4 linked regions of the Diceros bicornis minor genome follow. The protein of the gene in region 2 interacts with the protein of the main gene of each other region in a pairwise test. Links are inferred from orthologs where the notes say so. Each region holds a gene or a part of one and is shown on either strand. Other genes may lie near its edges.

Region 1 (6,958 bases), on a different chromosome or scaffold from region 2:
ATTTAAATTTTTCCTCCGGGTCCATTTTATAGGGAACATGGGCTTGACACCATGGGAGGAATTTCTTTCCGATCACAGTAATAGAAACAACTGTGCTTTTCCTGAATAATTACAAAAATATATTATGGAAACTGGATCATGTAACCAATCATTACTCTTTGCTAGGACTCTATAGAGTTTAGAGATAAATGCGCAGCCCCTCAGTAGCCAGTGCATAAGGCAATATGATGTAGATGTCTGTATTCTAATGTTATATCTGGTTCTATTACTTTCCCTTCATCCTTCACTACTTCATTATTTCCTTTTGTTGTTTTTTATAGGCCACTTCAATCACTTGTAGAATAAAGCAGAAGATAAAGAATGTAGCTTAATATGAGAAAAGCATTCAACTGAAAGAGGCTATTCTGGGTCTATCTCTAACTCAGGTATGACCATACTTTCATCATCTACAAAATTAGAGGTTTAGACGAGGTATCTCTAGCGTTCTGTCCTAAGTTTAAAATTCAGTGATTCATCAATGCCGACTCAAGAACTGGAGCACACTTAGCTCCTAACCACAACACCAGGTTTCCTATGAGGTCTGATTCTCTCTCTACAATGGTAGAAAGAGTATGCGCTTTGAATCACCAAAAAGACTCGGATTCTAATCTAGGTTTAGAGGCTGTATGATTGAGGAAATTAATATATTTGGGTCTTAATTTCTTCACTAGACAAAATACCACGTCTCTCAGGTTTGAGATAATGTAAAGCTCCTACCAGACAGAGGCACTCAAATCTTGCCTCACTCCCACCCCTTTAAATCTACTCTGGCCATAACTGATTCTGACCATAATCATAGAAAAATAAAATGTTGAGATTACGGGAATAAAGAAAATGAAAGGATGGGGCGGGCCCGGTGGCGCAAGTGGTTAAGTGCGCGCACTCCACTGCGGTGGTCTGGGGTTCGCCGGTTCAGGGTTCACTGGTTCGGATCCCGGCGCGCACCGACGCACCACTTGTTAAGCCATGCTGTGGCGGCGTCCCATATAAAGCGGAGGAAGACGGGCATGGATGTTAGCCCACGGTGGTCTTCCTCAGCAAAAAGAGGAGGATTGGCAGATGTTAGCTCAGGGCCGATCTTCATCACAAAAAAAAAAAAAAAGAAAAGAAAAGGAAGAGTTCATCAATTTCAAAAGTAACTTTCTAAACTTTATCCCCCTTCATCTTGCATTTATATTTGTACTTCTATATATTTGTTTATTTGTACTCTACTCAAACACATTTTGAGGAGAGGCAGTGTAAAGGAAAAAATCTCAGGCTTTGGAGACATTTCACCTTCTACACAGCCTTCAGCAAAAATATATAACCCCTCTGAATCTGTCTCCTCATCTCGAAAATGGGGCTAATAATGCCTACCTGGAAGTGCTGTAGGATTTAAATAAGGTAAATTACATGAAATATCCTGGCATAACATGGCAGGCACTAAATATGTATTGGTTCCCTTCTTCTCAAAAAGGTTTTCAAGTTCCATGAGGGCAGAGATCACATCCATTTTATGCACCTCAGTAAATATTTCTTGGTCATTTAATCAACTACTTTTTAGATGTTTGTTTATCACTGGAAGTTTTGGGTTATATGCTGCGCAGCAGTAGAAGGCCTTACCGAAGTGTTCACCCTAATTAATAATTAGGGACCATTTCCCCAGAATGTGCTCAAAATGTAATCTATCTCATCTTCAGAAAATATAAACCCTGTTACTTCCTCCATATTAGAACCAATTATTCTGACGGGTATTCTGTTGAGCCATAGGGTAACATGGCAATATATATTTTTAAAAGCCTTTAAAATAATAATGCCTTTAACCCAGGAATTATATTTCTAAGGATTTATTGTAAAGAATCAAAGATACACTCAAAGGCTCGTGTAAAAGTATGTTCAAAGCACATTGTCTATAATGGGGGAAATGAAAACAGTAGAATGATTAATAAATTATCACATATGCATAATATAGAATAAAAAATGCATAAGACATTAAACTCCATTTTAGAAGAATAATTATATGAGAATTTGCTCAATATAAAGTGAAGAAAAGCTTAAAAACTACATGTAAAATCTTGTAAAAAAAAAAGTGCATGTGTTACAATAAATAGTACACCAAAAAAGTTGACAGTTGTTTTCTTTGATTGGTGATACTAGTGATTTTTGTTTTAGAACTTTCTATATTTTCCAAATTCTCACAAAACGTATGTATGGCATTTATAATTAGAAAAATACCAATCACCTTATGCCCACTTTATTTTCGATAAGGTAAGATTAATATTTAACATGAAGACAAAAAACGACTTTAAACACAACTATCATTACGTAGATTATGGTAATATTTTGTTTCACTTCATTGAGAAAAGAGCTAAAAAAAAAAGTCAGACTTCTAAAATATCTATTGATCTTTCAAAAGGCAGCTTTATGAAGCAGAAAAAGCCAAGAGTTTTCAGGTTGAAACCTAGCTGTGTGGCCCTGAGCAAGTTACTTGCTGACCTGTTTCCTCATCTCTAAAATGGGACCATAACCACCAAATCACAGACTGAGTAGTAAGATTTCCATTATAATAATTGTGAAGGACCCTGGCACATAGTAGGAACTCCAAGTCTGTACAAAGGCTAAATATTCACTAAACGATCCTGAACCAAGGGAAAAACCTACTGAACTTTGGGGTAAATAATCCCAACTGCTTGGCATAAACTACTCTAAAAGAAAATTACTGTGGTTGTCACTGTTCTCCTACATTTACATGGACAATATTAAAATAACAGTTAATATCTACTGAGCCCTTACAGGCCAAGCACAGTCCCAATCTCTTTCACATTAATTATTTAAACCTTACAACCCTGTGGACAGTACTAGAGTTTTTAAAGCCACGTACAACTGAGGAAACAAAAGCCTTAGGGGGTTAAGAAACTGCCCAACACCATCTCCATGAGATGGACGGACGTTCTGAACTCAGGCTGCCTCCCAAGTCTTACCCACTACTCCATATGTCTCGACACGCAACATTTAAATCTCAGTTCCAAATTCATCTCCTTAGGGCCGCAAAAGCAAAAACAAAAAACTTACTACTCTGAGCGCGCTTCTCCGAGAACTGCATTTAGCATTTCAGATCAGAGTGAGCTCAAAGTCTGTACCGGGGGGGAAAAAGAAGTGCGATTCTGACAAACAGCGTTACATCAAAAGGGTCGATTGGTGAAAGAGCAAACATCCCCACGTCCTTAATTACATATGCACATAAAACGCCTGTACCGGGTCTCCGCTGGCGATGCAAAAGGAACAGAGCGACAGGGAAACCACCACACCATATTCTAGACTCAATTTGCCCTCATTCTGTACTTGACTTTCTTCGGTGCGTTTCACCTCTCTTAGTCTGGTCTGGCTTCTCTCACTTCCTTTAAAGTGGTTGAAATGAGCATTACAGAAGAGAGAACAGTCAGGTAGACGGGGACCGTGGCAGAGGAGCCCCCAAATTATACAACCCGTGGGAAAGTGAGGAAGAAACTCGAGAGCCCCAAGTGTGTAAAAGGGGCTCTTAAAGGTGTAAAGGGACAAAGGAAACCCCCCACTGGCTTAGGGCGCGCAATTACGTCCTCTCTATAGGGTACAGAGCATCTCTCGGAAGAATCCTCGAGGCAGGTGACCAGAGGAGAAGCCCGGGCCGACCTCACTGCCTCTGCAGCCTCGCAGACACGCTCCCGGCTGAGTTCAGCCGCCTTTGGTTTCCCACAGGCCAGCGCGCCCCCGGGAAGGCCCAAAAGCGCGCCTTACTACTCGTTGCCAAGAGACACTGCCCAGCCACCTCCTCCAATCAGCACGCATCTCTTTGCGTCCAATCACAGAAGGTAGAAGAGCTGAAGTCGGAGGTGAAAGGTCACACTGCTGTTCGGCGGCCATTTCTTTTGAAGCTCCCTGGTTCGGCTATTGCCGTAGTTGCTGCAGTCACAAGGGACGGACGACAGCTGGGTCGGCGGCGAGTGGCCTGCAGCATTTGCCGGTAGTCGTGATGGTAAGGAGGAAGAGAACGCACGGAGTCGCCGGAGAGAGAGAGAGGGCGGGCGACTAGCCTCGCCGGGCCTGGTGGCTGGTTCGCGCGTTTCCCATTCATCCGCGTGAGGCGCCGCGAACCCGGTCGCCAGCCCTTTTCTCCCTGCTCCGGGGGTCTGAGGCGCGCGCTCCTGCCAATGCCTTCCCCTCCCCGGGAGTGCCCCTGTCCCCTTCCGTCTTTTCTTCGTCTGCAGCTGAGCCTGAGATATCTTTACTGCCTGGGGCCACAGGGTCGGGGTAAAGATGAAGCGGTGTTTCACGTCCCGCTTATCACACTCCAAAATCGGTGTTCTTTCCAGGATGTTGGGGCTTCCAGCCCCGCAGCCCTCAGGAACCCAGAACCCAGGCTTTGGAGCGTTCATTTGTTCGTTTAGCAAATAGTTATTGAGCGCATGCAACCTGCCAGATACTGTTCTAGGCGCTGGGAATATAAGGTGAAAAGTGCTGAAGCGGGCCCTTCTCTAGGTTAACTCAGTCGCGTGTGAAAGACAGACGTTAATCACATAATAACAGAAATATGTAATTGCAAATAGTGTTAAGTACTAAGAAGGAAGCAACAAACAGGATGCTGTGAGGGGGCGCGATGGTATATTAGAAGAGTGGTCAGGGATGGCATCCCTGGGAGGAGGGATTTAACCTGAAACCTAAATGATATGAAATAGCCGCTAAAAGAGCAGGAGGGAAGGTGTACCAAGCACGGGAAACGGGAACATAGGCCCTAAGGCCGGAAAGAAAGCTTGACCAGTTGGAGAAATTGACAGAAAGCCACAGCCGCTTGCAAGAATGGTGGTTATGAGATAGGGTCGGATAAGATCTCTTCAGCCTTATTAGGAGGGCTGGATTCTACTCCAAATGTAATTGGAAGCCATGGAAGTATTTTAAGCAGAGACATATGAGTGATACAAATAATACTTGCCGGGTGGATAATAAGTTGGAGAAAGAAGAGAGTGAAAACTGGAGACCCATTAGGAGGTTATTGCAGTAGTCTACGTGTCTTTTGAGATCACTGTGAATATGCTTATGGTAGACGGGTTTAGTAACCAGGTTTCTGGTGCTTTTCTTTCTTTGGGCTGATGGGTGAGCAGAAGAGTGAGGGAAGGAAAAAGGTGAATTCACTGGGGACACTATTGGTTTGCTGAATAAACATTAAGTGATTGCCCATATGTAGGAGGCACTAAGTCAAGTTAAGACCCAGTCCTAGTTCCTAGAATTCAAGTGAAATTTTGTCAAGTGTAATCTGCCCCCTGCTTCCTTCTGTAGCCTCATATTTGGGACTCTGACAATACTGAATTGTTTGTATATCCCTGAGATCACCTTGTTGCTTCACTCTTACCTCCTTTTGCATAGGCAGCCTCTTCTGCCTAGAGCAGCCCTTTTTCCCTCTGGGAAATACCTCTCATCCTTTTAAAATAGAGGCATTACTTATTTCAGGCAACCTTTCCTTTTCTCTTAATCCTAGATTGGTTTGGTACCTTTGTAAATAGCACATCACCTCTTACTACATTGCAGTACATATAATTGTCTATTTGTATGTGTTTTGCCCCTCCCTCTCCCACTGTGAGCTTCTTGAAGACAGGCAGTGTCATCTGCATTTCTTTCTTTCTTTTTTTTTTTTTTTTACTGCCTTTATCTTTGTTTCTTTATAGCCTGGAACATTGAGTGATGCATAGTAGGCATTCAGTGTTTCTTAAGTGAATAATGAATACTTTTATACTTTTATAAGTTTTGATGTGTTGAAGGTGAAATTGTCTTACTGGGTATTTAAATTTCTCTGATGCTCTTCAACAAATAAAAGTGAAAATTATGTAGTAAAGTGAGAGGGTGTCAAGAGTTTGCTTCATTTTGATACCTTCAAATATTGGTGATTTGGTAGAGGAGGGTAGGTAGAGGAAGCCGATCTAAGGAAAAATAATCAATTGAGTCTTTTTTTTGTTCTTTGTGCAGAGTTTGCCCCTCAATCCCAAACCTTTCCTCAATGGATTAACAGGAAAGCCAGTAATGGTGAAACTTAAGTGGGGAATGGAGTACAAAGGCTACCTGGTATCTGTAGATGGCTATATGAACATGCAGGTAAGCTAAAGAGTTATAAGATCATTAAATGGTATTTATTTTGCTTCATCTTACACCTCAAAGGTTTAGTGTGACTTAGAGGAATACAATCAATTAAATTGACAAACATAAAGCCAAATTTAGGAATAAAGTCAAGGCCAAGGAAGATGTTATAACTGTGATATACTATGTATGAAACATGGTGTTAAACCAAAATTCAGCCGCAGATTTGGCTCCTAGTGGTTAAAATAAGAAGAGCTCAGGCAATTGATTCACAGTGCCATAAGGAAAACACACTAGTTTGTGGAAAAAGTAAAACATTTCCCAGGACTTAGCTCTGAAAGAAATTTTTCAAGTGAAATTCTTTTTTTTTTTTTTTTTTTAAAGATTTTATTTATTTTATTTTTTCCCCCCAAAGCCCCAGTGGATAGTTGTATGTCGTAGCTGCACATCCTTCTAGTTGCTGTATGTAGGACTCGGCCTCAGGATGAACGGAGAAGTGGTGCCTCGATGCGCACCCGGGATCCGAACCCCGGGCCCACCAGCATCGCAGCGCGCGCACTTAACCACCAAGCCACAGGGCCGGCCCAAAGTGAAGTTCTTAAGTCTTTTAATAAATGCTTATGGCACAACATCAGAGTAATTCCATAAAAGCATTTCTTGAGGAAGAAGACAGATCAGCCAAAGGATAAACTAGCTTCTGTAATTATTTCAGCCAGGTTTTTTTCTTTTTATTGTGGTAAAATATATATAACATAAAATTTACCACTTTAGCCATTTTCAAGTGTACATCTGTCATTAAGTACATTCATATTGTTGTGCATCCATCACTATTATCCAT
Region 2 (7,126 bases):
CTCTGTCTTCTTAATTCCTACCACCAGCCCTCACAGACATGTCAACCCCCACAGACGCGCCAGCCCCCACAGACGTGCCAGCCCTCACAGACATTTCAGAGGGGCTTGACTGGCTATCCAAAGAGCTACTAATTACAGCAAAATGAAATGAGAATGCATGTCTAATATTTAATCAAGTATTAAGTGCCACAGAGACTCAAAAGAGTGAAACAGAGAATGCATTTTGTTTCCTGACATAATGACTCAACAGAGAGATCTCCACTCCAGCTGGTTGCTCTCCCAACTAGTTGCTGTGGCCAGGCCTCTGAGAAGCTCTCTTCAGGGGGTATTATGGGCTGAATTATGTCCCCTCAAAATCCACATGTTGAAGCCCTAATCCCCAGTACCTCAGAACGTGACTGTATTTAGAGACAGGGCCTTTGAAGAGATGATAAAATTAAGATGAGGCCATTAGGGTGGGCCCTAATCCAATCTGACTGTCTCCTTATAAGAGAGGAAATCTGGACACACAGAGACACCAGGAATGCCTATGCACAGGGAAAGGCCATGTAAGGACACAGCAAGAAGGGAGCTATCTGCAAGCCAAGGACAGAAGCCTCAGAAAAAAATGAAATTACCAACACCTTAACCTTGGACTTCTAGCCTCCAGAACTGTGAGAAATAAATTTCTGTTGTTTAAGCCACCCTGTCTGTGGTATTTTGTTATAGCAGCCCTACCAGACTAACACGGGCGCTTCAAGCAAAATGCGGGCCCTTCCTCCTTCCAGGAGAGTTGGAGACCACCTTCAGGAGCTCACTGTCAGCAGCCTGGGAGCAGAGGAAGTCAGAGTCTGGGGGCCTAAGAGAATGGGCTGTAAGGAAAAGGCCCTGGCATACAAGTGTGGAGATGCCTCTTGACCCTCTCAGGTTATTTCTCAGGATTCCCACAACCTGGCTCCCCCTTTCCTCATCAGGCTTCTCTCGGTACTCCCAGCAGTCCCAACGGAATCCTTTTGTTGGTCGGACTCGTCTCTTTACCAAGTTGGGCTAGCTTTTGCCTCCACAACTAGGCCATCCAACATTTCCTACCCATTCTTCAAGGTACTGCTAAATTTCCTGACCATTTGTGTTCCATAACGATCTCTCCTTTCTGAACCATTTTCTGCACTTAGCAGCATAACCCAGTATAATTGTCCAGTCCGACTGCCGACATCACACAAGATAACATACAGAAGCAAGAAACTAGTTATTTTCGCCTGCTACAACAACACTAGGTACCTTTGAGAAAAGAGAATATGTTTTCTTCTGTTCTGAAAAAAAGTGAGTCTGTCGGGGGAAGACAGAAAATGACTGGGGACACGACACTGCAAAAACATACAAAACTTGTCCAAATTCAATTTTTTCCTAAGTTCTGTCCCATTTACCACTGAAGCCAGCTGCAGAGGTATTTCTTGCCATATGCAACTGTGCACTTGAAATGTTTAGGAGGAATTCTGCCTGCCATTGTGCTGTATGTATTTCTTAAAACAGCTTCCACAGTTCGCTTTTGACCTTGTTAATTTCATTATAAAGAGTATGATGCCCAGATGATTCATTGAAGTATAACTGCTGTTAGCTAGCAGCAAGTTATTAATTCATTAGGCAGGGGATAGTTCAGAAAGTACACTTGATAGGAGAGGATGCAGCCCTTACAACTGTAATATTTAAATAGTCCCTGAATTGCAAAGAAAATGGAAATCTATTTCACAGTGAATAAAAAGGAAAAAGAACTCTTTATGAAATTTGGACTATTTCAAATTGTCATTAGAAACAGCTAAACATTATTAATAAGTCATAGCATTCCTGATTTTAAGAAAGAGAGAGACACACACACTCAAAGATGTAGTAATTGTTCCAATTAAATTCCCTGATGTTCTGAAGAACTCTTATGAATCTGACATGCTCTGGGGAAAGGAATATTCAACAAAGAGCAAGCAAGAGGAAGTAGCGTGGTTCACAACTCTAGAATTTTTTCACTGTAGCTTAAGCTTTAAAAAGAAGCCCTGAATAAATCAGTCCAAGATATGCATCTGAACTGAAATGATCACGTCTTACCATTTTATTGAGACAAATCAACCACACACGGGCAATTCATACCACAACTGCTCCTCGATACTCATCTCAGTACAATTTTTAAAAATTTCCAAAAGCATATTTAAAACTATTTTGTTTCCCAATTCACAACCCAAAAAGTCCCCAACACCTATTTAAGTGAACCACAAAACGCCCAAGTGGGACACAGAATGACAACCATCAGAAGTCTCAGGGGCTATCCAGGAGCATAAGGATGGACAACCTGCACGTTATGAAGAAAACACGACTGCTCCTCGGTTTGCGTGGGTCTCCTGCACCTGACCCTGCGAGCCGCCAAGGGAAGGCCGGGTCTCAGGCACTTCTGCATCACGCGCAAGTAAAACAGCGCCTGGCTAAGCGATGGTTTCCTAAATCAAGCTTTAAGAAACACGCGCCCTGCCCAGACACAAGATCCGGGGTTTTCCAAGTTTGGTCCACCAACCAGCTGCATCAGAAGCATCCCGGAGAAAGAAGGCCGTTACAATGCATATTCCTGAGCCCCAGACCTGACTAGACTAATCAGAATCTCTTGGTTCACGAATACAATTTGACAGCCCCACCCCATGCCCACCCCCACCCCTTCCTCCACCCCCTCGCGGGCTCCAAGGGCCCAGGCGCCCCCGGGCATGCGCACGCGCGTCCCCGGCCCGCCGCCCGGCCCACCCTGCGCGCACCTAAGGCAGTCGTTGTCCCGGACCAGGCGTGCGCTCTCGGTGGGGGGCAAGAGCCCCCCCTCCAAGTAGAGGCCCAGGAGAGCCCCAGAACTGAAGCCGAAGCGCTGGCGAATGAGACTGATGAGATCCGTGACGACTCGGCATCTGTTCAGGTCGACCAGAAGCCAGAAGACAGTGCAATGCGGCGTGGCTGGCGGCGGGTAATCAAATTGAAGCCGTAGCCTAACCGTCTCGGAAGCTGCCATCTTGCTCGATGCTCAACGGAAGCCGAGAGACACCACAGGGCTACAGAGAGGCGTGTTCGGGCGGCCCGCCCCCCTGGAGCCTTTTAACGTGTGCCACCTATCGGTGGCAAGTGGCTACTACAGCCTTCGTGAAGGGCAGGAACGCGGGGCCGGGTTGATTCAATTCTGTTCACGACAAAGCTAGGGAAGCGTATAAATGTGATAGTGCCTTTCTTTCTTTCCTACTCAGCACTACGTAGGGTCTGAATTTCGGCAACTCTCTGGGTTTGTAGTGCTTCTTAGCACTTCTCAGCAATGGTCTTCTAAGATGTTTGCTTATATATGTAAAAGAATTCCAAAAAACACTAACTCCCCATACATTTAGTTGACACAATTTCTCATCATCAAGAGTTGCAAAAGATGTAATTCCTAGCATATTGCAAATATTGACATTTTAAAATAAAACCATTAATCACTCTTTTAAATTAGCCAGTGGAATTTAAATACCTTAGCAGTTTAATACCTACCACCATCCATATTTTAAAATATAAAAATAAGAGCTCTTATTAACCTGTAGGTAAGTAAATCAGAAATTTTACGTCATTTGAATTTCCATGCCATTTGCCCACATAATATGTTAACACTTCCAAGTTTTCATGACAAAGGTATGAATTATGAACTAGTATTATTCCCATTTGAAAATTTTAAAAAAAGGAAGATCAGAGAGATTAAGTAACTTCCCCAAGGTCACTGGACTAGTAAGTGGCTAATATCTTGCAGTCAGTAGATATATTGAAAAAAAATTTTTTTAAGTTTTGTTTTACCATGACCCTAATGCTCTAGGTCTTTTGGATTGAGTTATCATTACTATAATTAGTGGTACACAATTGATAAAAATAGCATAAAACTTCGCACATTTTGGTGCATAATTATTAAATAAGGAAAATAAAATGGGCATGGAAACATATCTCCTAATGAAATATGTGGAGCTGTGTTTTTTTTTTTTAATTAGTCCAAGTCTCTGTGCATGAATATAGCTGAATGAGACAGGGATCCACATCAATTCTGGACCTATTTTTTGTTTTTATAGATGTAAAGTCCTGAGAAAACTTGTTCATTTATGTAAGTAGTTAAGAATGGAAGGACTTAGGTTATTGGCAACATTAGTCAATTTCTTAAACTCCTTCCAAGTTACATGCTAAAATCACCTAGAGATCTTTCTTTGAAAATTCTTTTCAGGGGCCAGGCCTGTGGCGCAAGTGGTTAAGTGTGCGCGCTCCTCTGTGGTGGCCTGGGGTTCGCTGGTTCAGATCCCGGACGCGCACCAACGCACCACTTGTCAAGCCATGCTATGGCGGCGTGCCATATAAAGTGGAAGAAGATGGGCACAAATGTTAGCCCAGGGCCAGTCTTCCTCAAAAAAAAAAATTATTTTCAGTACTCCATCAGCCAACAATTCAGTTAGATTCAATAATGTTAAAAACAAAGAATCAAGAATCACCTGACTTTCAAAAGGAGTGTTTACCCAGTCACTAGGGTCATTCGCTTTCTCAATATCTGGGAAGGCTCTCCTAAGACTTAAGTGATTATTATACTACTTACTCTTAGATTTAGAAGTGCCTGGTTTATGGAGCTAAAATTAGATGAAACTGGGGTAGAAATGACAATTCCATAAAAGTAGGGATTGTTATCAAAGACCTGTATATTCATGACAGATAGATAAAACTGAACACTTGTGAACTGTTATTTAGATTAACAATTTAATCTGATAGTTGATATCAGTGATGTTTATAAATATGCATTTACAGAATTGGAAGAGCATATCAACATTTAAGAAAGAAGGGTTAATCCCAATAAAATTAGGCTGTTTTCTCAAGTTCGGGGCATTACTAAATTATATATATCAATGATTGCTGTTGTGTGCATTATTTACAGTAGAATCCACTACATTTTTCCCTAAAGTTAATCTAAATTTAATAATACCTGATAGAAACAAATAAACAAGTGAAGTAGGTTCCAGTGAGGCTGTGTAGACGGGTTGGGGGAGATGCATTTCTTTTGGGAGAACAGAAACAGGCGTATTCTCAGGCAGTTAGCTTTAGGAAAGAGTCTAGTGAAAGAGGGGAATGTGGAACTTGATTCTCTTAAAACCATCAATGCCTGCCTCCCCTTGGAAACTGTTTGAGTACTCCTCAGGACATATTTACCCCCAGTCTGAAAACTGCTACTCCAAAACATGCAAAATTCCCTAAGCAGTGGGTGGCTTCTAAGTGCTTACCTGGTTATTCATGTTTCCTTCCCTAAAAGTAGGTAAAAACACCACCCTTCCACCTACTACGGGGACCTGAAGTGAGGACAACAGTTTACATCCAAACTATAAATCTAAGAGTTAGATCTAATCTAAAGTCTAATCTTAGATCTAATCTGATTAAGTCAGGTCTAATCTAAGAGTCAGAACCAAAGTGTTCATATTATTTTAATAAGGCTGGGTGGTAGGTACACGATACTGTGTACTTGTCTGTATTTTGCAATATTCATGATACAAAAATTTCTAGAAAGGAATCTATTTTTTGTTATAGGACCCTTTAGAGGTCATTTAGAGGGTCTCTAAAGGGTCATTTGGCAACATTTGTCTCAATTATAAATGCATGTACCCATTGACCCAGCAATTCCACTTCTAGGCATTTATCCTATGGAGAGATTAATAGGGATGTGCAAAGACTCATGTGCAGTGTTTGTTGAAACATTGTAACAGCAAGAGTCAAGAACAAAGTAATGAGCTGGTCTGTGGCGCAGTGGTTCAAGTTCTCCGTGCTCTACTTTGGCGGCCCCGGTTCGCTGGTTCAGATCCTGGGTGCGGACATTACTCCACTCACCAGCCATGCTGTGGCAGTGTCCTATGTATAAAAGAGAGGAAGATTGGCACATCTGTGCCAAAAAAAGAAACAAAGTATATGCTCATCCGTAGGGATTTAATTGAATAAATTAGTGTACATCCATAAAACACTGTGTAGAATTCTACTGTATGGATGCATCATAATTCAGTCAGTTAAATCCCTATTGAGGTAGTTCCATATACACTGCTATGGAAAGGGGTCTAAGATATAATGAGAGAAAAGAGCAAGGAGCAAAACAGGATAATTGTATGATTCTATTTGCTTTCTTTTTTTTTTTTTTTTTGTGAGGAGATCAGCCCTGAGCTAACATCCGCCAATCCTCCTCTTTTTTTGCTGAGGAAGACGGCCCTGGGCTAACATCGGTGCCCATCTTCCTCCACTTTATATGGGACGCCGCCACAGCATGGCTTACCAAGCAGTACTTCGGTGCGCACCCGGAATCCGAACCAGCGAACCCCGGGCCGCCGCAGCGGAGCGCGCGCACTTAACCGCTTGCGCCACCGGGCCGGCCCCGCTATTTGCTTTCTTTTTTTAATTAAACTTTCTAATATGAGATAATTGTAGATTCGCATGCAGTTGTAAAAAATAACACAGAGAGAACCCATGTACCCTTTACCCAGTTCCCCCCTGTGATAACCAGGATATTGAAATTAACACAGTCAAAATACAGAACAATTTCATCATCACAATGATGGTTCATGTTGCTCTCTTATAGCCACCCACAATGTTTTCCATTTCTATAATTTTGTCATTTCAAGAAGTTATATGAGTAGAATCATAGAGTATGTAACCTTTGGTATTGGCTCTTTTCACTGGTTAGTTCTCTGGAGATTCATCCAGGTTGGTGTGTGTATTGATAGTTTGTTGCTTCTTATTGCTGAGTAGTATTCCATAGGATAGATGAACCACAGTTTATTTAACCATTCGCCTGTTGAAGGACAGGTGGTTTGCTTCCAGTTTGGGGCTATTACAAATAAAGCTGCCATAAACATTTATTTACAGGTTTTTATGTGAACATAAGTCTTCATTTGTCTGGGATAAATGCCCAGAAGCGCAATTGCTGGGTCATATGATAGTTGCATGTTTAGTTTTTCACGAAATTGCCAAACTGTTTTCCAGAGTGGCTGTACCATTTTGCATTCCCACTAGTAATGTATGAAGTGATCCAATTTCTCTATATCCTGGCCACCATCTGACATTGTCAATATTTTTATTTTAGCCATTCTGATAGATGTTAGTG
Region 3 (7,046 bases), on a different chromosome or scaffold from region 2:
ATCTGTACTTGTCGGTGGATCTCCCTTCCTTGCAGACTCTAACTCCAGCTGCCTCCTGTACAGCCACTCTTTTTTTTTTTTTTTTTCCTGTAACAACCTTTATTCCTCTTCCTCCATAGAATTCACAAAAGGGTCATCTTATCTTTTCAACAATTTATGTTGGCTCATTATGGGAAGTACACTTGCATCTGTACAGCCACTGTTGATGGCCCACAGGCATTTCAAACTTCACCTGTCACCAACCAAACTCATTCTCTTTCCCTCCTAGGTCTACACTACTCACTGTGTTCCACATGTGGAACACTGGCACCACCATCTACCCAATGTTAAGGCAGAACCTGGGAAGCAGGCCTGCCTCGTCCCCTGACCTCACCCCCAACACTCAATCAATTACCAAGTCCTATTCGATTCTACCTCATAGAATATCTCCCAGATCCTTCACAGCTCTGTCTAAGCAGAGCAGCATCATCTCTTGCCTGGATTAATTCAACAATCCCCTACCTGGTCTCCATATACTCCAATAGTTTCTCACTGTCTTTAGAATGGCTTTAAATCCTGAGCACAGCCTCCAAGTCTTTTGTGGATTTGGCTCCTACCTACCTCACCATCATTCATTAATCCATTCATTTAGCAAACACTGAGTGCCTACTATATGTGAAGCACTGTTCTGGGTGCTGAACATATATTAGCGAACAAGAGAAACAAAACTTTTTACCCTCACAGAGCTTACATTCTAATGGGGGAGACAGATGAATAAATATGATATATATTAGGTTAAAAGAAGACACGTGCTATGAAAAAAGAAAACAGGGCAGAGTAGAGACATTCGGGAGTGTGGAGACAGGGGTGGGATGTTGCCATTTTTAATGGAGTGGCCTCTCTGAGAAGGTGAAGAACTAAGGGAGTAAGCCTACAGGCGTATGAGGACAGAAGGAACAACCACGGCCCTAACTCGCCATGTTTAAGAAAGAATGAAGCCTATATGGGTGGAGTGAAGAGAACAACAGGGGCAGATCACACAGGTCTTTGTAGACGGCTGTAATCTTCTAGCTGTTGAGCTGTGAGTGGACTATAGGGGGTATGGGATACTAAATTAGGGGGCTACTGCAATCATCCAGGCGAGACATTGCAGTGGCTTGAACAGGATGGTGTTCCAAGGTGGTGAGAAGTGGTCTGATTCCGGATATATTTTGAAGGTAGAGTCAACAGGATTCCCTAACAGATCAGATATGGACCAAGAAAGAGAGGAGCCCAGGGGTTCTGTCTTGAGCAAAAGGAAGGATATCATGCTATTGACTGAGATGAGGAAGACAGTGAGAGAAGCAGGTTTGGCGAGAAGGTCAGGATTTCTGTTTTGGACACGTTAAAATCGGGATGCTTATTAGACTTCAAATGGGAGATGCCAAATAGGCAGCTGAAATATACGAGTCTGTGCTTCATGGAAGAAAGCAGGACTAGAATACAAAGTTGGGAGAAGTCACCAAATAGATGGTGTTTAAACCATGAAACTGATGACAGCACCAGAGAAGTGACGAGAAGAGGTGCAAGGACTGAACTCTGCAGCTCTTGAATGATAAGAGGCTGGGGACAAAAGAGGAGCCAGAAAAGACTATTGAGAAGTGAAGAAGTAGTGAAACAGGAATGCACTGTCTTAGAAGTCAAGTAAAGATACTGCAGCCAGGAGGCAGGTGTTCAATTGTGTCAAATGCTGCTCTCCGGACAAATGAAAGATGAGATCTGAGAAATGGATTAAGCAACTCGGAGGGCAACACTCACCCTAATAAAAAAATACTGACCACCTTTTAATTAATCTCTCTCCTCTTTAGCCCCTACACAATATTGTTCTTTCTGCTCAGAACACTCTGCACTGGTTTTTCAGGTCTCAGCACAAAGGTCATGCAATCTGGGAAGCCCGACCCCCAAGGTTAATGCTATTGTTATCTGAGAAACTATACTTTCTTTATCGTTGAGATTATTATTATTATTAGAATAGTATTAATGTAATATTATTATAATAATATATTACAATTATTATTTTAATTGTCTCTCTCTTGGGCTAGACTTTAATATCCTGAAATCAGGCACAAGTCTATCTTGTTTACTTCTTTACCCAAACCATCTAAACTAGCACAGTGCGAAGCACGTAGTAGACATCCCATAAGTAATTAGAGAACAAATGGATAAATGCTAGGAAAACTTAGTAGCGTGAGCAATCGCTTCCTGTTGGCATAACTTCGGGGGTGCCTAGAAAGGAGTGCCTAAAACTATGAGTGGGCGTGGAGGGTTCTGACCACCCTAAATTCGCTCCAGGGCTGGGTCTCCCATTCCATTACCTTTGCAAGGTGGTAATATAAACCACGCTCCTTTTATTTTTTATTGCAAGTTATTCCCGTGGCGGACATCTTTCAGCCGTCCACTCCAATTAACCGCGCTCTTCCTCGCACCCAGCCCCCGCCACTCACCCAGCCGCGTGGTGCGCTCCCGCGGCACCGAGGGCCGGTTCCCGGTCCCATGCTCGGCCTCCAGCTCCTCCTGCTGCTGCCGCGCTTGCTCCAAAATCCGTCGGGTCAGCCGGGGCCCCACATACTCTTCCTCCTCTTCTCCGGTTCCACGGCCCCGCCGCTTTTCCCGGGCCCCTGCCCGCACCGCGTCCCCAGCCAGGATCTGCTCGGCCAGGGGCGCATGTTTTTCCTGAACCCCGGCCCCGCGGGCCGCCTTGAATTTGGGCATTTTTCTCGAAAACCTCGCCGGGAAGGTTCACACGTGGGGACGGGAAAAAGCCCTGATTGCGCTTGCGCAGTGAACCCCGCGCCCAACAGGCGAGACGGCGATCACAGCGTTCCCTAGCGTTCGGAGGCCGGGAGTGCCATCAGCGACGCCCCACCCCCTAAAAGAGCTCACTGGTCCTGGAGCAGGACTCCTGAATAAACTCATTGCCTTTAACGTTGGCTTCTCTAAGTGGTGGCAGGCCGAGCCACGCTTTCCTAGCTTCATGGATCTAGGCCCGGCCACATGAGAATTTCTCCCGCGGCAAGCCTGGGCCAGGGTCGGACAGTGACGTCACTGCATGCGTCACCGAGGAGGCGCCTAGACAAGCCCCTGTTCCTCGTGGGCGCGTCGACTGGGCGCTCTGTTTTTGCGTCATTTCCGGAGCACCTCCCTCCAGCGAGCCTGGCGGTAGGGGGCTTCACTTAGCGTGGGCGGCCAGAAAGCGCTGCCTTTCAGCTGTTGGATCCTGCCACCTTCCTGGCCCGACACCATGGGAGTGACTTGGTAGGAGTGCGAGGGATTTTGTGGGGCGGGGCTTGGGGTCGTGAAGGGGCCCTTGGAGCCTGGACTGTACCCGGGAGGAGGAGCGAGATCAGGGTCCGCCGTCCCTCAGGAGCTGAGCAAGATGTCCTCGGATTGTGTGGGTGAGGGGGACACCATGAGGGTCGCGGAGTCTCAGGGCCTGTTTCCTCAGAGATGCGCCCCTTCCTCTTGGAAGGCGGCTGGTAAAAGGTTTTATCCCAGGAACCCATCAATGGTTGTGTACCTCGTTCGTTTTTTCTTGGTCCATATGCCTGCCCGTGGGGCTGTGGTACTGCTGGGGGTGGAACTTTAGGGTCGGAAATAGGATGTCCGGACTAGGATCCATCTGCAGGCAGGTCTGGAGGGGTTGAGGGATAGGCAAGGAGGAGACAGTATCTTTTTTAGGTTTTCGCCTGCTCCTCCTTACAGCCGCTAAATGCAGTTAGACCAGCCTGTATCTGGTTCTAGTTTGACCATTTTAAGATTCTCTGTCTAGAGGTAAAAAAGAAGCTATTGGGAATTAGGAGATTGGGGTTCCAGGCATGTCACCTTTTCAGGATCCCTTCCTACTATGTTTAATTACATGGTTGGTCTAGTTTTTATGGACTTATTAGCTCTAACATGTTATAAGTCTGGGTGGCAGGGAAAGGTGTGGGCCTAATGCTCTTGGAGGCATTAGTTCCAAAATGCTAGATTTCAGGGCTTTTTTTTTTTTTTTTAATACCGGGAAGTGTGAACATCTTTCCAGTCAGAGAGGGCTGGAGGCCAGGATATCTGAAGCTAGTGGCTGTAGGCTTCTTCTATAAGAACCTGTGGGCACTACTCCTCCTGATAACCCAGGTTCTTGAGGTTTGTTGGTGATTGCACCTTTGTTTCCTACAGTTGTCATCAGAGCCTCCTCAGGTTCTCTAGTGTAAGGGGATATGTGAGCGATGGGAATGCAAAGTTTGAAGCACAGAGGCTTGGAACCCTGGAGCCCCTGTTCTTTCAATAGAGAAGGCCTACAGAGGGAAGGGCTCTCTTTTGGGACCATTATCAACTTTCTCCGACTCCTAGGACTTCTGACCTCAGTAGCATCAGTTTAGGGAGTCTCTTATATTTCAAAATAAGGCACATCATTATCATTGCTTATCAGTGCTTTTTCTTTCTTTTTTTAAATTTATTTATTTCCCCCAAAGCCCCAGTAGATAGTTGTACATCATAGTTGCACATCCTTCTAGTTGCTGTATGTGGGACGCGGCCTCAGCATGGCCGGAGAAACCACGCGTCGGTGCGTGCCCGGGATCCGAACCCAGGCCGCCAGCAGCGGAGCGCGTGCCCTTAACCGCTAAGCCACGGGGCCGGCCCTATCAGTGCTTTTTCTTATGGAGAGTAGTGACAATTATTAGCAACGTCAGGACTCTACTTTTATATCTTCATTTGGTTGACTGATCCTAAAGTAATGCAGTGTCTCCCAACATTCACTCACATATGATTCTCCTTAGGACTTTTGTATAGCCAAGTACCAGCTCTACTATTATTTATTAGTGTTTTCTTTTAAATCTATTTATTTTCCTTTAAAGTATTTAACAGGCAACTGTGTCCCTAGGGAGGCAGTCCAGTATGGTGGTTAAGAGTGTGGACATGGCGCCAGCTTGCCTAGCTTTGAATCTTTGCTACAGCACACCAAGCTGTGTGACCTTGTGTGAGTTATTCAACCCCTCTGTACTTTAGTTTCCTCATTGGTAACAAGGAGATAAATAATAGCACATCTTATAGGGCTGTTGTGAGGATTGGAAGACTTAATTCATCTGAAGGCCTTTGGACACTGCCTGGCACATAGTTTGCGCTTGGTGATTTTTACCCACCCCTCTAAAGGGGAAGCCAATTTCACTCACCATAGAAGGAAATCTTGGAAATAACGTTTTTTGTTTCATTGTTTTGATTAAATTCTTGTACGTACTGTTGCCTCTCATCCCCGAAGATTATAAACTCGAGGCTTGCTTTCTTTTTGATCTTAGGGCTGTCGAATAGAACTTTCTGTGGTGATGGAAATGTTGTATATTAGCAGTGTCCAGTACCCTAGCCCCCAGCCACTATTGAGCTATTGAGCCCTTAAAATGTGGTTGCAGCAGAGGAGTTGAATTTTTAATTTAATTTGTTTTATTAGTTTAAGTGTAAATAGCCACATGTGGCTTGTGTCTGCTGTACTGGACAGTGCACGTTCAAAGTGTTGTAGAGTTGGTAAAAATACACTATCCCCAAACTGAGGCTTTCTCCTTCATACAGTCAGAAGTGAAAGAATCACAAAGCTCATTATACAACTCAGTGTTATCGAGGGCTCAGTCTGTGTGCCACCTAAAATTTTCTCATGCTACGCTTGGGAAGTGCTGGTGTGATAGATAGGAAGTTCACTGCACTTCTCTGCGAGTCCTGAGAGATGTCCTCAGGGACCGTGGGCCTCTATTTCCTCTGTTTTAAAATGAGGGGGTCAGGGTCAGTGGTCTCGAAGTTAATTTCTGGCCCTGATGAGCTGTGATTCTGTGAGTGAGTGGTTCAGCGAGTGCACATGTGTCATTGCATATTGATGGTTTGGTACTCTCCCTTCCAGTGTGTCCCAGATGCCTGTCGCTGAGGGCAAGAGTGTCCAGCAGACCGTGGAGCTCCTCACCAGGAAATTGGAGATGCTTGGGGCAGAGAAGCAAGGAACATTTTGTGTGGACTGTGAGACCTACCACACGGCTGCCTCTACCCTTGGCAGTCAAGGTCAGTGAGAAGGGTCTGTGTGATGGCTGGAACCTGGCTTGGAGTTGATAGATGTTCATGTTCATTGAAATCTTTCTGTTCTTCTGCTAAAGGTGGTATTCTTAAACGTGTGGCACAGGTGTTTCTTAATTCATTAATTCTTGGTCCTTCATCTCTTAGACTGGGCCTATGTTTTAGTCTTTTTGCACTTTGCATTCTTAAAGCCGTGTTTCTTGGAGGGTTGGTCACTGACTGACTAAATCATTTGAGTTACTTGTTAAAGGTGCAGATTCCTGGCCCTGCTTACCGACTGACTGGTGCTACAGGCCTCATAATCTACATTTTAACAACCTTCCCAGATGATCTTTATGCAGTCTGAAGTTTGAGAAAGTCTCCTTTTAGGCTCAGAAGTCTTCGGATATGATTCTTGTAGAGCTTTAGAGTTTTCAGAATTTTCTGCAGAAAGGCTTCCTGTTGCCCACACCTAGCCAGTGGCCTTGGCTACCTCATTAGCATAACCTTGACCAATGAATCATCTCTTGTTTTAAATGTATTGAGAGGTGAGATGGGCTGTGGATGGTCATGGTGGTAGGGAGGCAAAGAGGATCTTTGAATATGACTTAGGGAACCTGAGTTCTCTTAGTCTTGGCTCTGCAGTAACTTGACCTTGGACAGTTCCATACCAGTGATTAAGAGCCTAGATCTCGGAACCAGGTAACTGAGTCCTGGCTCTGCTAACTGCAACTTTAGCTAAGTCCCATGACCTGTGACTGTTTCTATGTCGGTCATTTGCCTCTTTTCCCATAGATCTCATCCCTGCCCTTGACCTGCACACTACAACTGCCAGGCCCCCTTTCAGTTACCTTGGGTCAGTGAGAGGCACTGGGGAAGATTAGAGGATGGGAGAAAGGGAGACCACAGTATTGCACTCCCTCTCCCTCTGCTTTGGGCAGTGGTTATGGCTGTGACTCCTCCTTGCTTCTAGCTCCTGCAAGGCAGCCTTTGTTCCTGGCTCTTATAACAGCATATCT
Region 4 (7,571 bases), on a different chromosome or scaffold from region 2:
AGCTCATCCTCTGACTGTGAGAGCCACTTCAGTGTCCTTCCTGGTAAAGGAGCTGATAAACAGCCTTTCTGCCTTCACTTTTAATCGAACAAGTCAGGACTAATAAAACCGGGCCAGCTGTTTTTTGGAATCAAATTATACTGCTTGTGCTATAATCCTATTCCAATGATCAATTAATTTTTCCAACAACCTCCTCGAAATGAGGTCCATTTGGCATGAAATGGGCTCGGTAAACCACTAAGGCCCCCTAAATAATCACTTTTTCTTCGTGGTCACAAATCCTCCTGGGAATAGGCATCAAGTTCTCCAGGGTATAGTGTCTGGAATACATATTTTTTTTCCTTTTATGAAACTCAAGACAGCAAGTAGTCGTATTTATTCAGCCTTATGTCATCTCCTCCATCATTTTCTCAAAGATCCATAAGAAAATCTAAATCTATGGATTTGGGGGTCATAATCTAAAGCACTTTCAGTACACTGGGATATAACTCTTCTGGGTCTGAAGATTTTTAACCCATTTAAGGCAATTTCGTGCTTTCTACCGCTGTACCCGTCTTAGTCTTAATTTCCTCTTACTGCTATTTTCCTTATTCATTCAAGGTTGAGAATCACTTTCTTTGATAGACAAAATGCAAGCAAAACAGACATTGGGTATTCTTGTTTCCTTTCAGTTGTCTGATCACATCATATCATATGGTCCCAGGCAATGGGATTATCTCTCCCTTTTTCTTCTAGCTCTTAATATTGAGCATTGAAAATACTCCCTCCTCCGATAAAAAATAAACCCCCCTTTTGTTATTAAACCTCGGTGTATTATGTGCTGTAGACTTCCTGAATCTCCTCTTTCACATCTGTGGCCCCTTTTTATACTTTCTTTTGTTATGTGTTCCTCCTACTCTAAACTCCTGCCCTTTAACATCCTAATTTCATTGGGTATTGGCTTCCTTGAATGCATCTCTTCTTTCTTCCTCATCCAGATCACTGGAGTTTGTAGGTCAAAATCTGGTTCTAAGCACCTCCTACTCCTCTGAAACCATATCCCTTTTTATAGTCTCTACTATGCCCTGGTGGTCCAGTAGTTAAGATTTGGTGCTCTCACCACAGTGGCCTGGGCCTGGGTTTGCTTCCCAGTCAGGGAACACCACCACCCGTCTGTTGGTTGTCATAATGTGGCAGCTGCGTATTACTATGATGCTGAAAGCTATGCCACTGGGATTTCAAATATCAGCAGAGGGTGCTGGCCCGGTGGCATAGTGGTTAAGTGCGCATGCTCCGCTTTGGTTGCCCAAGGGTTCGCAGGTTCAGATCCCAGGTGCGCACTGATGCACCGCTAGTCAAGCCATGCTGTGCCGGTGTCCCATATAAAGTAGAGGAAGATTAACCAGGGCCAATCTTCCTGGGCAAAAAGAGGAGGATTGGCATCAGATACTAGCTCAGTGCTGGTCTTCCTCACACACACACACACAAAAATACCAGCAGAGTCACCCATGGTGGGCAGGTTTCAGCAGAGTTTTCAGACTAAGAGAGACAAAGAAGAAGAACCTGGCCACGAAAACCCTATGAATAGCAGTAGAGCATTGCCTGACCCACCTGGAATGTGAGAGGATGGAACAAAACGACCAGGTAGGGTGCCACTCTGCTGAACACAGGGTCACTAGGAGTCACAATCGACTCCATGGCACTAACAACAACACAACCATGAAGTCATATGAATATTTAAAATATGATCTATTTTTTTCAATTTAAAAAGTAATTCCTATTTATAAGAGAAAGTTTAAAGCATAAAGAAAGCACATTATGGCAGAGACTGCTGGCTGCCCTGTACCCCCTTCTCTATTGCTTGCCCCGCAACTCCAGACCACCTCCACCCTGGGTAAACCAGTGAACTTCTCTGCTATCTGGGAGCCAACCCATGCCTTCTCCAACGAGGTCCAAACCGCTTTCATATTTGCCCTTTTTTGTTTTTTTTTTGGAGAGGTACATATATAGGTGTTTTTTTGTTTTTTGTTTTTTGTGAGGAAGATCAGCCCTGAGCTAACATCCATGCCAATCCTCCTCTTTTTGCTGAGGAAGACTGGCCCTGGGCTAACATCTGTGCCCATCTTCCTCCACTTTATATGGGACGCCGCCACAGCATGGCCTGACAAGCGGTGCATAGGTGCGCACCCAGGATCCGAACCTGGGCCCCCAGCAGCCGAGCGTGTGCACTTAACTGCTACAACACGGGGCCGGCCCAGTACATATATAGTTTTATCAAGCTTTCTTTATTTTTATTGTGGTAACATTGGTTTATAACATTGTGTAAATTTCAGGTTTACATCATTATACTTCTATTTCTGCATAGATTACATCATGTTCACCATCCAAAGACTAATTGCAATCCATCGCAAATACACATGTTCCTAATCATCCCTTTTGCCCTCCTCCCTCCTTCCTTCCCCTCTGGTAACCACCAATCCAATCTTTGTATCTATGTATTTGTTTGTTGTTGTTTTTATCTTCTACTTATGAGTGAGGTCATATGGTATTTCACCTTCTCCCTCTGACTTATTTCGCTTAGCATAATACTCACAATGTCCATCCATGTTGTCACAAATGGCTAGATTTCATCGTTTCTTATGGCTGAGTAGTATTCCGTTGTGTATATATACCACATCATCTTTATCCATTCGTCCCTTGATGGGCATTTAGGTTGCTTCCAAGTCTTGAATAATGCTGCAATGAACACAGGGCTGCATGTATCTTTATGCATTCGTGTTTTCATGTTCTTTGGATAAATACCCAGCAATGGAATAGCTGGCTCATATGGTAGTTCTATCCTTAATTTGTTGAGGACTCTCTATACTGTTTTCCATAGTGGCTGCACCAGTTTGCACTCCCACCAGCAGTGTATGAGAGTTCCCTTCTCTCCACATCCTCTCCAACACATGTTGTTTCCTGTCTTGTTAATTATAGCCATTCTCATTGTAGTTTTGATTTGCATTTCCCTGATAGTTAATGATGTTGAACATCTTTTCATGTGCCTGTTGGCCACCTGTATATCTTCTTGGGAGAAATGTCTATTCAGGTCTTTTGCTTGTTTTTTAATTGGGTTGTTAAGTTTTTTTGTTGTTGATAAATTTGTCCTTCTTAAGTACTCTTCACCAGCCCTAGGTACCATATAGAGTTTCCTTATATCTTATAGCTACACTTATATCATAGTTACTTCTTTTGTTTTGTTTTGTTTTTGCTGAGGAAGAGTCTCCCTGAAGTAACATCTGTTGCTGATCTTCCTCTTTTTTTGCTTGAGGAAGATCCCTGCTGGGAACCCAACCCAGGCCAGGGAAGCAAAGGATGCCAAACTTAACCAACAGGCCACGGAGCCACTTGGCTGGCCCCTATCATAGTCAACCCCATGTGGAAGTGTGTATTCAGAGCTGAGATGCAATAAATCGATAACCAACACGAGGATTTATGCTCAGTCTTTAGGATTTATGTACTTTAGAACTCACGAGACTGAAGAGATCTGTAGACAGCCTATAAACCAACCTAAGAATTTCAGTTTTTATAATGGGAAGTACCCTGATCAGCTATATATGACCTTTGCAAATATAGGCAATTCAGAAGGCTATAAAGTGAAAGTCCTCCATACCATTCATTCACCAGAAATAAACACTGTTTTAACAATTTGGTGTCCTTCCTCCCAGACTGCCAGCAAATAAACAAATACATGATTAACACAAAATGGATACCACGCGACTCTTTTTCAACTTTTTTTTACTTACTATATCAAGGAAACAACGTATCTTTCTGAGCCAGTACGTACAATTTTCCTATTTAAAAAAATGTTACAATACGGCCAGATTTTGGGGTGATAGCCTTCTCTGAAACCGCCCTTGATGAGGAAGTATTTGGAATTAACCTCCCCGCTCCCTCCTCCCTCCCCAGCTCCCCGCGGACTCTAGGCTCCAAGCGCTCAAGCGTCGTTTTTCACACACAAGGTTCGCTTATTTCACTCGCACACGTCGAGTCTTCGGCGTCTCATCCGGTTCCTCCACAACTGGCAACCCGCCCCAGGCTGGAAGATGGGTCTCAGACTCCTCCGGGAGACTCACGAAGTGCCGTGCAGGGTCCAAGGGCTTACCAACTCCAAGCCCTCCCCTGACATTTCTCCAAGCCACCTGCCACTGACCTCTCATCTCCCCCAGCCGCCCGGACCCTCCCGGTTACCGACACCCCTAGCACTGCCGGCCCCGCCTCAGCAGGCACCAGCGCCGCCCCGCCCCTGACTCCACCCACCTCGCCGGGCTCCGCCTACTCGAAACACGCGGTCCTCCTGGTCCCGGGCTCCGCCCACTGGGAACTCACGCCGCTCACCCACCCCAGATCCGCCCACTTCGCCCTGGCTCCACCCTTCCGGAACCTGCGCGGTGCGTCCCGCCCAGGCTCCGCCCTCCGGAATTTGCACCGCCCGCCAGGGCCTCGCGCGCGGGGAAATGCGCCGTTCGCCCTGCCCCGGCCCCGCCTACCCCGGGAACTGCAGCAGCGGCCACCCCCCCAGGCTCCGCCCACTCCGCACCGAGAACCCGCGCGGGCTGCTGTACGCTGGCTCCTCCCCGAGGCCGGCCAGGGGGCTGTTCCAGTCGGTCTGCCTTTAGCGGGTGCCCCGACCCAAGCTAGCCCGCCATGGAGGGGGGTGTCTCCGCTGCTGCAGCCGCCCACTACCAGCCGGCCAGCCCCCCGCGGGACGCCTGTGTCTACAACAGCTGCTACTGGTGAGGGGGCGCGGGCGCAGCCCCCGCATCTCCCGGGCTCCCTCGGCCGCGCTGTCGCAGCCGGGCCCCGCCTCTTCCCGGCCCCTCCCCGGGGGCGCTCGGGGCCTCGACTGGCTGGTTTGCGGTTTGAGGGGAGGAGGGAGCGGGAATTGCAGCTCTCGCGTCTGGAGCAGAGCGTGGGCATTTGGATTGGGGGGCGGATTCGCCAGGCGTGGTAGGGTCGGTGGTGCATTACTTCTGCCTGGCGCTTTTGTCTGGGACGTTTCTCAGCAGATCTCAGCGCTTGGGGGCCAGGAAGGGGAGTTGGAGGCCGAGGGTGGAGCGCGGAGAGCCTTCGGAAATTAACTCTGTTGCAGCCTGTGTGGTTTCACATTGATGTGAAGGTCATTTTAATTTTGAAAAAGAATGGGGGCACGGAGATTTTGCAGTAACTTTGCCAAGGTCACCCAGCTAGGAGCAGCCAGGAATCCAGTTCGGGACCTCTTGTACCAGAAACCGTGTTAACCACTATGCTGTCATTATGATAAAGGTTACACTTAGACATCACTTGCTGTATGCCAAGCACTGTTCTGAGTGGTTTGTGTAAACTAATTATTTGAACCACAGGAGCCCCTAGGAGGTAGGACTACTGTTATCTACCTTTTCAAGATGAGAACACTGAAGCACAGAGGGGTGCAAGTAATTTGCCTACGGACATAGCTAGTGAGTGAAGGAATGGGGATTTACATGCAGAGTTTGGCTCTGGGGTCCACACACTGTACCCTTGGTTTAGGCTACGTCTGTGGCAGAGGCACCCCTCCTGCCTTGGTCCTTTTTGCTCCCACACCTACCCTTCTCTTGCCTGAGTATGACTTCTTCCCCAATTTCCAGTCCCTGCACAAGAAACCTTAGGGGCATCTAAAACTACTTTTCCCTCCTTCAGCTGGTCACCAAACCAGTGCCTCCAAGAGCTTAATATTTGTTCAGCTCTGACTGCATGTAAGGAAAGGCCTAGTGCCAAGTGCTTCCATGCGTGCCTGGGAGATAGGTTCTGTGACTATCATTATCCTCATTTTACTGATGAAATGACTGAACCACAGAGTGGCCTGTTGTTTGCCCAAGATCACACATCTAGCAAGTGGTAGTGCCGAAACCGGAACCTCCGCAATGCTCGAGTCCATGGTTCTGCCCTGCCTCTCACCTAAATCCTATTAGCTCGTGTCCCTAATGTCCATGCATTGTTTTATTCATTCATTCAATAAATGTTTATTAGGCACTTGGAGCGTGTGATGCATGATTCTAGGCACTAGGGATACAGCCGTGAACAACCAGACAGATTCCCTGGTAAGATCTCATGGTTCTTAGGTTTTGCAAACAAAAACATGTAAGCCATATTTGGGTGGTGTTAAGTGCTATGAGAAAAATAAACCAAGGTGAGGGATGGTGACTCATGCTGATTCATACAGTCATAGACAGAATGAATGGGCAGGGCTGTGTTCTAGTGAAACTACAGTATTAGGGTATTTAAGGAAGACATAGTTGATAAGGTGATGTTTGAACAGAGAGCTGAAGAGGAAGAGGGCGGGAGCTTTGTGGATATTGGAGGAAGATCATTCCAGGTGGGAGAAGCAGCAGGTGCAAAGGCTCTGAGAAGGAAGCGTGCGGTGAGTATTCTAGGAACACCAAGGAGGCTGGCACAGTTGGAGTGGAGCGATTGGTGGAAGAATGGTAGGAGATGAATGTCTCTTACATCATCTCCTTTTCATTCCTTCAGCCATAGGCCAGGCCCTCCTCAGCTGTCGGGGCCTGTTCCAGTCCTTCCTAACAGGCCTCCCTGCCTAGCTTGCCCTTATCCCGTCAGGTCTTTAACTTTAGCTGGCTTCACACTGCTCAAAGCCGTCCTAAATTTGAATGTGGTAGAGAATCACCTGGCAGCTTGTAAAACATGTAGCTCTTAGAGTCCCACCCCAGAAAGTCTGGATGTGGGAGCAGCACAGTGGAGGGGTCTGAATCTAGTCTGTTGATCACATTTCAAGGAGTACAGACATAGACAATAAAGTTTATCACCTGAGCATGGCAGGCCCTCCAAGATCTGGTCACCATCTGTTCCTCCAACCTCATTTTGAACCTGCCTTTGCTGCTCTACCCCAGGGTTTCTCAACCTTGGCTCTGTTGACCTTTGGAGCGTGTTAATTCTCTGTTGTGGGGGTCTCTTCTGTGCATTGTAGGATGTGTAGCAGCATCCCTTTCCTCTAGACACTAGAGGCCCATAGCACTCTCTCCCAATTTATGACAACCAAAAATGTCTCCAGACATTGCCAAATGTCACCTGGGCAGCAAAGTCACCTCTCATTGAGAACCAGTGCTCTGCCCTGTCTGAACACATCAGATAGGTACACCTTACTGTGTTTGCTCTTGTGGGTTCTTCTAACTTGAAATAAATGCCTCCTCTCTACTTCTGTTAGCTTCTGTCAGATGCTGCTTATCTTTGAGAGACGCCCAGCTTAAGGACAATAGTGGTAGCTAGTATTTGTGTCACACTGTGTGGTTTGCAGAGCACTCTGATTCTGTTGTAATTGTTTTGTATTTTTCAAACGTTTGTTGAGCACCTCCTGTGTGCCAGGGATCCTCCCCTTCTGCATACTTCTCTGACCTCAGCCCATCGCCAGTAACCCTTGCAGAATCTCAGCTCTAATGCTGCTTTGTTAGCCTTTCTGCTACCAATATAATCAACTGACAGGTTGAGACATTATCATCATCACCCCCCGACTTTTTTTTTTTTTTTTTTTTTTTTACCGGTTAAATGGGTACCAGAACTGACACCAAATCTGGGAACAG

The links.
Region 1: the proteins of COIL (region 2) and SNRPF interact in binary tests that used the Homo sapiens proteins (3 or more experiments, as listed by UniProt). The two-hybrid records come from large-scale screens. The link is inferred for Diceros bicornis minor from reciprocal best matches to the Homo sapiens genes COIL and SNRPF.
Region 3: the proteins of COIL (region 2) and BYSL interact in binary tests that used the Homo sapiens proteins (3 or more experiments, as listed by UniProt). The link is inferred for Diceros bicornis minor from reciprocal best matches to the Homo sapiens genes COIL and BYSL.
Region 4: the proteins of COIL (region 2) and NTAQ1 interact in binary tests that used the Homo sapiens proteins (3 or more experiments, as listed by UniProt). The link is inferred for Diceros bicornis minor from reciprocal best matches to the Homo sapiens genes COIL and NTAQ1.

The regions. Positions count from the first base shown.
Region 1 is NC_080764.1:26,526,257-26,533,214, reverse strand, and holds the start of SNRPF (small nuclear ribonucleoprotein F), read left to right. Parts: upstream 1-3,949; 5' UTR 3,950-4,027; coding exon 4,028-4,030; intron 4,031-6,012; coding exon 6,013-6,138; intron 6,139-6,958. UniProt on the Homo sapiens protein: Plays a role in pre-mRNA splicing as a core component of the spliceosomal U1, U2, U4 and U5 small nuclear ribonucleoproteins (snRNPs), the building blocks of the spliceosome.
Region 2 is NC_080757.1:30,550,633-30,557,758, reverse strand, and holds the start of COIL (coilin), read right to left. Parts: upstream 3,023-7,126; 5' UTR 3,011-3,022; coding exon 2,766-3,010; intron 1-2,765. UniProt on the Homo sapiens protein: Component of nuclear coiled bodies, also known as Cajal bodies or CBs, which are involved in the modification and assembly of nucleoplasmic snRNPs.
Region 3 is NC_080753.1:23,515,717-23,522,762, forward strand, and holds the start of BYSL (bystin), read right to left. Parts: upstream 3,020-7,046; 5' UTR 2,731-3,019; coding exon 2,463-2,730; intron 1-2,462. Other genes in the region: MED20 (mediator of RNA polymerase II transcription subunit 20), read left to right, coding at 3,260-3,273, 5,882-6,036. UniProt on the Homo sapiens protein: Required for processing of 20S pre-rRNA precursor and biogenesis of 40S ribosomal subunits. May be required for trophinin-dependent regulation of cell adhesion during implantation of human embryos.
Region 4 is NC_080760.1:38,988,847-38,996,417, forward strand, and holds the start of NTAQ1 (protein N-terminal glutamine amidohydrolase), read left to right. Parts: upstream 1-4,571; 5' UTR 4,572-4,665; coding exon 4,666-4,754; intron 4,755-7,571. UniProt on the Homo sapiens protein: Mediates the side-chain deamidation of N-terminal glutamine residues to glutamate, an important step in N-end rule pathway of protein degradation.